Linked DNA regions of Bombyx mori. The protein of the gene in region 1 binds, or shares a complex with, the protein of each later gene. Links are inferred from orthologs where the notes say so. Each region holds a gene or a part of one and is shown on either strand. Other genes may lie near its edges.

Region 1 (3,830 bases):
TACTGCAGGTGCTGGATGCAGCTCAGCATCCGCTGGCGCAGAGCGAACGCGTCCGCGTACAGGCGGGCCTCCGAGAACCGCTTCACCACCTTGTTGTACAGCCACACCCTGGCGCACCGAGGGAAAATTGATCAAGCGACAACGATTAGCTTTTGTGCCACGGAAAACATATATATATATATATAATACTTTTCCGGGACTTTTTGGCGGGAACGCGAGGAGTGAAGTTGTGTGATTTGTTTTATTTTGTCTATTTAGTGTTTCTTCAGGTTTAAATGTGTAATAACGGTGGTTTATTAACTGTTTAATATCTGTGAAAGTGCACAAATGTGGGAAAATGAAACAAAGCTGCTGGACATAACTTCTCGGGTTCCTCCAAAAAGTCCACTAAAAAAATCTCAGTAAACGACTGGCACCATTTTACTGAGATTATATTTCATCCCATATCATCTCATTTCATTTAATTTTATCCCAGTTGATTAATGTCTCAAATTAATCATCTTCATTTCATTTCATTCCATATTATCATTTTTCATAAAATTAAGAATATTAATTAAAATAAGACATGACTTAAAAGTATTAGTTACCAGGTCATAAAATCCCTTAAAAAAATACTTTTTCTATTTAATTTACTAGGAATTATAAACAGGAATTGTAAGTTTAACTAAACTAAGTAACTAAGCATGGCGTTGCTCTGAAAACAAAGATTTTATTATTTTAATAACTTAAAAAGTACACAACAGTAACAGTAACAGTACAATCACATTGCAAACCTATAATAGGTATCTCACGTGAAAACGAAGAAACGACATTTAAAATCCACCACTCTTAATTCCTTATAATAATTATGCAATTTAATACCAACAAAGTAACAATATGTCCGAACATGGCAGACGTCAACCCTACAATATGCAATGCATGTCACCATTATCGACAGCGCCATCTATATGATTACATAGGAGCTATAGAATGCTGTACAAAAGTACTATAAAAAATATAGTATCTTTACATATAGATAGTATATACTTTTTTTATTGTGATAGTTAAGTAAATCGAAGACAGCATGAGAGACTAACGGTAGGCAGCGGCTTGGCTCTACCCTTGGCATTGCTGAAGTCCATGGGCGACGGTAATCACTCACCATCAGGTGGACCGTACGCTAGTCTGCCTACAAGGGCAAAAAAAAAGTTTAAAAAAATAAGACTACAAGACCGTGAGATAGGTGAGGACCAAAAGTCATAGATTAGGTTTGGGGCCACTCGTGAGGAGCACTTGTGAATATCACGTAGCCTGTTTGTTACTGTGCTTGTAGAGTAACATACAGCGACCGAAACGTCGCAGTATACCTCAAGAGACGAGGTCCGAAGTATTAATAATTTTATTAAAATAAAATATCTTCTGAAACCGGAGCCCATTATTGCTTAGCAACCTTAACAAAATGGAAGGTAATTTTGTAAGAATAACTTTGAGGTTTGATTTCATAAAAATATGTTGTTAATTTATTGTGCAATTAATTTTGTCCTACATTTATGCGGCATGTATGATTCATGGCACAATCTCTGCTATGTATACCAGTAGCCACGAGTTGATAGACAATTGATTTTTGAATTGTTCATTTTTTTTGTTTTAGTCAATATATCTTTGTAAAACTTACAGACTATTGTTACAGTTTTATGATAGTATAGATCTAAAACGGAATACAAACTTGCAAAGTAGTCTCTCGACGTGCTTACAATAGAAGAGATGTCTGAATATCATCTGATAGCAAGCGATGGCCTTGTGGTTGAGCACTAAGGACACCGGCCACTTCACCTCCATGCCGAACGAGAATGTCTCTATGCCAGTCAACGGAGGACAATCTTTGTTGTGTTTGTATTCTGAAATATTAAACAATTTAGATAAATATTCAAGATAGAAAAAATAATATTATTCGATATATATATAAAACAAACATATTCGCCTATTTTCTCTTTATAGCGACAATAAAACTAATATTTTTATACCGTACAATGAACATCTGCTGGAACTTTTGATGTTACGACTTTTTTCAAACATAATATTCATATTAATTATCTTAAGAATAAACAATTTAAATGAATCTAGTAGATACATTTTGTATGTTGTGCAATTAAATGAATAAAGTAAATTCTTCAATAAATTTTTTTATTATTTTTAATAGTAGCAGTATTTCAACAGTGATTTTCATTTTTATATTATATTCGGGTTTACAACAAAAAACGTTTTGTATGTTTAGTCCTCTATGCGTTTCCAAGCTATACATACGATTGTGGTGAAACTTAGTAGTCGTTTTTGGCCCTTTAGGGATGACTTATATCATAGAACCATGTACGTGCGACGGCTAACGCGCGAATAATGCAAACAATTTGATGTTTCTCATACAAGTATTTATATATTTATTTTATTTATCTCTATTTTTAAATATTATAGGTACCTTCCTCCTCTTCTGTTTCTATGGATAGGATTTTGAACATTTGGAACTGCAGATCGTACGGAAGGAGTTCAACTCTCATGTCTTCATTATATGGATCATGACTGGCAGCGGAGAGCCTGTAGAGAATACAGTTTCATTAACCTAGGCTGTTTATTCTAACTATACATTATGTACAGTTCTCAAAAAAGAAGACCGCGGGAATAATATAATAGAATATTCTGATGCGATAATCTTAAAAAATCTTAATTGCAAAATTTAGCAAAAAAGAAAAAAACACTGTTTGGATTGTTGCACAATTAATACAATTATTTAATTCGGAGCTAATGTCTTACAGATACAAAAGTTAACAAAGCAAATTTGGAACGAACCGGGTAACAAGGAAACGTAAAATTAAACAGGCGCTTTTTTTTTAGTAAAGTTTGCAAAATAGGAAAATAAAAAAATAAAACTGTACCTAAGACAAAGTCCAAGAAGTGACTCCAACTTGGAGGGTATAATGTCGTCTATCTTCTTCGATAACTCCTGATCGGTCGCATCCATAAATTGCACAATGAAATCGCCCTGGCTCATTAGGAAGTAGTTTTTGACAGACTTCAATCGACCCATCAGATCGTATTCTTTGAGTAGTAGCTCCAGCAATGATTTACTTGCGAAAGCGTAAGCCTTCTGTATTATAGCACCGTAGTTTTGTTCTCTTAGTGAGTATTTTATTTCGTCTGTGTTCGTCTTGCTTATTGATTTTCCTGAAACGTAACAAAATTTACCAACGATGTGCGATCGACTCCAACACTTCACTGTTAAAAGATCAATAAGTATGTACACTAAAAGCTCTTTATTCGCGGGGTATGTGTTGCGTAAATATGCCGCGAAAACAGAAACTGTGAATATGGAATGGTAATTTACATATATGGGATAATATGTTCCTAGGTGACAAAATAAAAATATACTTTAGGCATAGTTGTAATAAAGACTATGTTACTGTTTTTTTTTGTCCATTTGACAACGCTTTAACAAAGGATATTCGATTGAATACCTACATATTGGATTGCTTTTTGAAGTGAAACTTCTTAAGGCGTTCTTTCCTTTCAATAAACTTTTTATTATGTACCAAAAATACAAAACTTTTTAGAGCATAGATTATAACCAGACTTATTTAGTTTAATTATTTATTGAAATTTCATCTTATGACGATCGCATAGATATCTATAAAATAGTAGAACCAATTGTGATAAGCTGAAATAATAGATAGCTGACCTTATTTTGTCTTTGATGTCATTGAACTTCATTATCTATAAATTGGGATTTAATTAAAGATTGATATCTCAGGTGTAACATTATCAAAGGTTATCTGTCACATGATCAAATAAAAGCATTTAAC
Region 2 (4,076 bases), on another chromosome or scaffold:
GGCACTGATAACCACTTAACAATAGCCGGGCAGTGATTTCGCCCACCCATCTTAGAAATAAAAAATAAACACAAGTGGCGCGCGAGTTTCATCAAGTGTATTCCACACATTAACGATATCCACACCAGAAAGGTTTAGTTTTTACTACAGAAATATTTTGAGAACTTTTGTGATGAAAAAATGCAAATTGTTTTCATTATGACTTATAAAAACGATATTGAAAATAAATTAAAACAAACTAAATGTAATAGCGTAATTTTAAATAAGATTTTTTTTACCATCGCACCGCCCGCCACCGGAGTAGAGTTCATCCATACTACCTGGAGCCACTGCGGTCATCCACAGTGCGTTTCCAGAGATCTTTTTGCCACGTACCATCCGGCTATGGAATGAGCTCCCCTCCACGGTGTTTCCCGAGCGCTATGACATGTCCTTCTTCAAACGAGGCTTGTGGAGAGTATTAAGCGGTAGGCAGCGGCTTGGCTCTGACCTTGGCATTGCTAAAGTCCATGGGCGACGGTAACCACTCACCATCAGGTGGGCCGTATGCTCGTCTGCCTACAAAGGCAATAAAAAAAAATTTAAAAAAAAAGAATCAAATCATGGTGATACTATTAATTTACATTTTTTCTTTCAGATACAATTTACAGATGACATTACTGGATCCAGAAGCTGTCGATCACCCACAACCATGCTCATGTCACATGACTAAATGCATACTGATTAAAGCATTCATGGAGTCCCATTAAACATCAATCTGTTTTTTATAAATTAAATAAAATGAAATCAGAATCATGTATGTTACAAGTTTTATTTTAAAATCATTAATTTATAATACATTTGGCATTCATTACATAAATACACATGGTGACAATAAGGTGTAAGAATTCAATCCATTATAAAACTAAACATCTGATACTTACGCAATTATTTTAAGTTGAAACTTAAAAATATGGGTTCATTCTCTTTAGAAATTAATTCAGATATCAAAATGTTAATGAGTCAAAAGCATAATACTCTATAAAATCATTCGAATTTCTACAATCTAATAAATATCATAAAGCTTGTTAATAACGGATTCTCCAAAAACCGTATCACATGAAAATTTAACCCTCCTACTACCGGGAGGCGTGTTTCCATTTCCGTGTTCACTATGACGCAGTACTGCCATAAACACGCACTGATTTGTCGCGCTAACAGCCTTTACAAACTCTTGTTAAATTCAGAGTGCGCCTCCTCCAATCGCGCACAGGTTTGCAATGCCAAATGCTCTTCTAAACACGTGTTCAAGGCGACACGGGACTAAGCCATGAAGTTCGCGTATGACAATACCTACTTTGTGAAAGAGAAAACTGATCTGTCTGTATGGTGCTGGGGGTCGATTTTTTAAACATATTTGCGCTGTAGAAAGGAAACATGAAACTGTACTTAGGTACCGCATCGCTACATTTAAATGACTATGATCGTCAACAATTTGCGAAATCAGCTCTGGGTGACCAGTTTTCACTGTCATTCCTTAAAGATATTACGGCTGAACCAAGCACAAATAATGAATACAGCCAACTCTGACTCAGATCCAGATAGCTCCATTACACCAAATGTTGCTATACCAGATACTTTTGAACTTCCAATAAATCGAGCTGAAAACGGTATAACTATCAACAATGAAAACTTTGACTGTGCTGTTCAAAATATTAAAGTTCAGTGGCAAAGAATTACTGATATCTTGGAAAATGATTCAAATGCTGCATATACAAACATTCTTACAACTCTTACTTATTCTTACTCCATCGAGTATTATGTCATTTGTAGTTGAAAATTTTTTCGATGAAAATCTCGAAAAATTCATGTACAACCAAAATCGATCGCTCGCCGCAAAGAAAGAGATCTGCTATGCAGTGGAAAAATTCGATTCGAGAACGACCAGCCAAGTCAGAAACTGAAAAGAAAAGGTGTTCATAATATTGTATCTACTCGTAATATTGATAATGAGCCTCCTGCTAAAAAAAAATATTTTATAAAATGACTTCTTTATTTTTGTTTATGTTACTACTTACGTTGATTGCCTACAATACAATACCAAACTTGCCCATTAATTAAAATTCCTTCAAACAAACACGGATTTGTCTCGCTTAATCAATGCGCATACTCCTTGTAAACCCGTGCGCAATTGTTTTTTTTTTCTTCTAACTATGCTGATAGCCTTGAGAGGCTATTTCAGCTTCTCCTTGACGCGTAGGTGAGCTCACGGTGCTCAAACCGGAGTGTTGCTAACACTGGCCCTAGCAAGAGTTTTTTTTTTTCCTACGTAAGCTGGTAGCCTTGAGAGGCTATTCCAGCGTAACCTTAACTAGTAGGTGAGCTCACGGGGCTCAAACCTGACGACGTTGCTAACACGAACCCTAGCAAGAGCCGTGCTTCGCTCAATCTACCACCGGATCGGAAACGCGACCCATTCGACCCACGAGAAGATCCGGCGAGAAACTCGGTGGGCTGTGTCTGAGGGTTAATTTACTCGTCGAGCCCTTCTTCGCAAGCGACGGGTTCCACAAGAACGATGACCGGTGCTTGAGGTACCTAAAAGCACCGTTAGTGGATCGGGAGGATCCGAGATGACGTGCTTGGGGCGACGTTGACTGCTTTCCATTCTCTCCGCAGGATCGGGAATGTAGTTACCGGCGGCCACGATGAGAGGGTTCTCGTGTCGTGCCGCTTTATCGAAGTGGTAGCAAGAGCAGTGCCTCGCAGAATCTACTACCGGATCGGAAACGCGACTCACTGAGAAGATCCGGCGAGAAACTCAGTGGCATGTGTCTATGGGTTAATTTACTCGTACTTGCAACGAAGGGCTCTCCGTTCGTCGCAAGCGACGGGTTCGGCGAGGACGTTGACCGGTGCTTGTAGTATGTACCTAAAAGCACCGTTAATGGGTCGGGAGGATCCGTAATGACGTGTTTAGAGCGACGTCGACTGTTTACCATTACCATACCTAAACACGTAATTACGAATCCTTCAGGACGGGCGCTTTAAATTGAACACGGATTTGTCAGGGCGGTTAGCGCGATAAACCCGTGCGTCTTTCATGGCAGTACTGTCTCATAGTGAACACGGAAATGGGAATACGCTACCGGGAGTCATCTTTGTGGAATATTGGAGATAAACCCTTATGTAAAAAAACCTCTACTCTTTCGTTTGATAGGTAAACCGATTTCTCACTTATAAAGAAATGCTCACCGTGACATGCGAAATAGATACTGTATTAACCTCACCTTGTTTTCTTTATAATAAAACACTAAGTTTTCTTAACTCCTGCTAAAACAAGTGAAGCACGAATGAGTTTAAAAAAAGCTCTAAGAGGTAAAGAGTTAACGAAAAACTGCAAACGAATCCAACTAAACTTACCGTTCCGATGTTGAGAGTGGTGAGTAAACCCTCATCAGTATCTTAACATGTTCGTTACAGATTGCGTTAACTGCGCCTCTCTACTGAGCCACCGGTTGTAGTCGAGTCTCATCAGAAGTCTCGCTAAGTAAACGCCGCACGGACGATCTCGTAGCGAAACTAGAAGTTGCATTAGTTGCTTCACTAATTTGTTGAACCTAGAAAGTATATTAATTAAGGATCGCGGCACTGAGACGTGGTCGCTCACAATAGGCCCTATGAGAAGGCTCAAGGTCACCCAAAGAGCAATGGAGAGGGCTCTATGCTCGGAATTTCCCCGGATCAAATCAGAAATGAGGAGATTTGCTGGAAAACCATGGTAACCGACATAGGCCAAAGGATTGCGAAATTGAAGTGGCAGTGGGCAGGACACATTGCTCGTAGAACGGATGGCCGTTGGGGCCAGAACGAACTCTGTCTCCTGGTTATCTGGACGTCGACAAATTAGGACTTGAAGGTCGCCACCCGTCCTAAGGCATGAGGTCGAAGCCTCAAATGTATAGCGCATGTCCCACCCTTCGAATCGGAGCGCATGACGGTTACGTGGCAAAAACAGGAAGAATTGTTTTGAATTGTTGTGAAATGCACACTGAAATTTTACTGTGGACAAAATACATGCATGCCTTTTTTTCTTC

Evidence for each region.
Region 2: gamma-tubulin complex component 2 (region 1) and gamma-tubulin complex component 4 share a complex: the UniProt entries of both Homo sapiens proteins name them as parts of the gamma-tubulin ring complex. The link is inferred for Bombyx mori from reciprocal best matches to the Homo sapiens genes TUBGCP2 and TUBGCP4.

The regions. Positions count from the first base shown.
Region 1 is NC_085119.1:10,560,799-10,564,628, reverse strand, and holds part of gamma-tubulin complex component 2, read right to left. Parts: intron 3,196-3,830; coding exon 2,907-3,195; intron 2,569-2,906; coding exon 2,453-2,568; intron 1,878-2,452; coding exon 1,706-1,877; intron 109-1,705; coding exon 1-108. UniProt on the Homo sapiens protein: Component of the gamma-tubulin ring complex (gTuRC) which mediates microtubule nucleation.
Region 2 is NC_085125.1:5,636,595-5,640,670, reverse strand, and holds the end of gamma-tubulin complex component 4, read right to left. Parts: intron 3,600-4,076; coding exon 3,437-3,599; 3' UTR 3,403-3,436; intron 3,313-3,402; exon of another isoform or gene 2,031-3,312; intron 1,940-2,030; 3' UTR 796-1,939; downstream 1-795. Other genes in the region: uncharacterized protein LOC101745013, read left to right, coding at 638-749. UniProt on the Homo sapiens protein: Component of the gamma-tubulin ring complex (gTuRC) which mediates microtubule nucleation.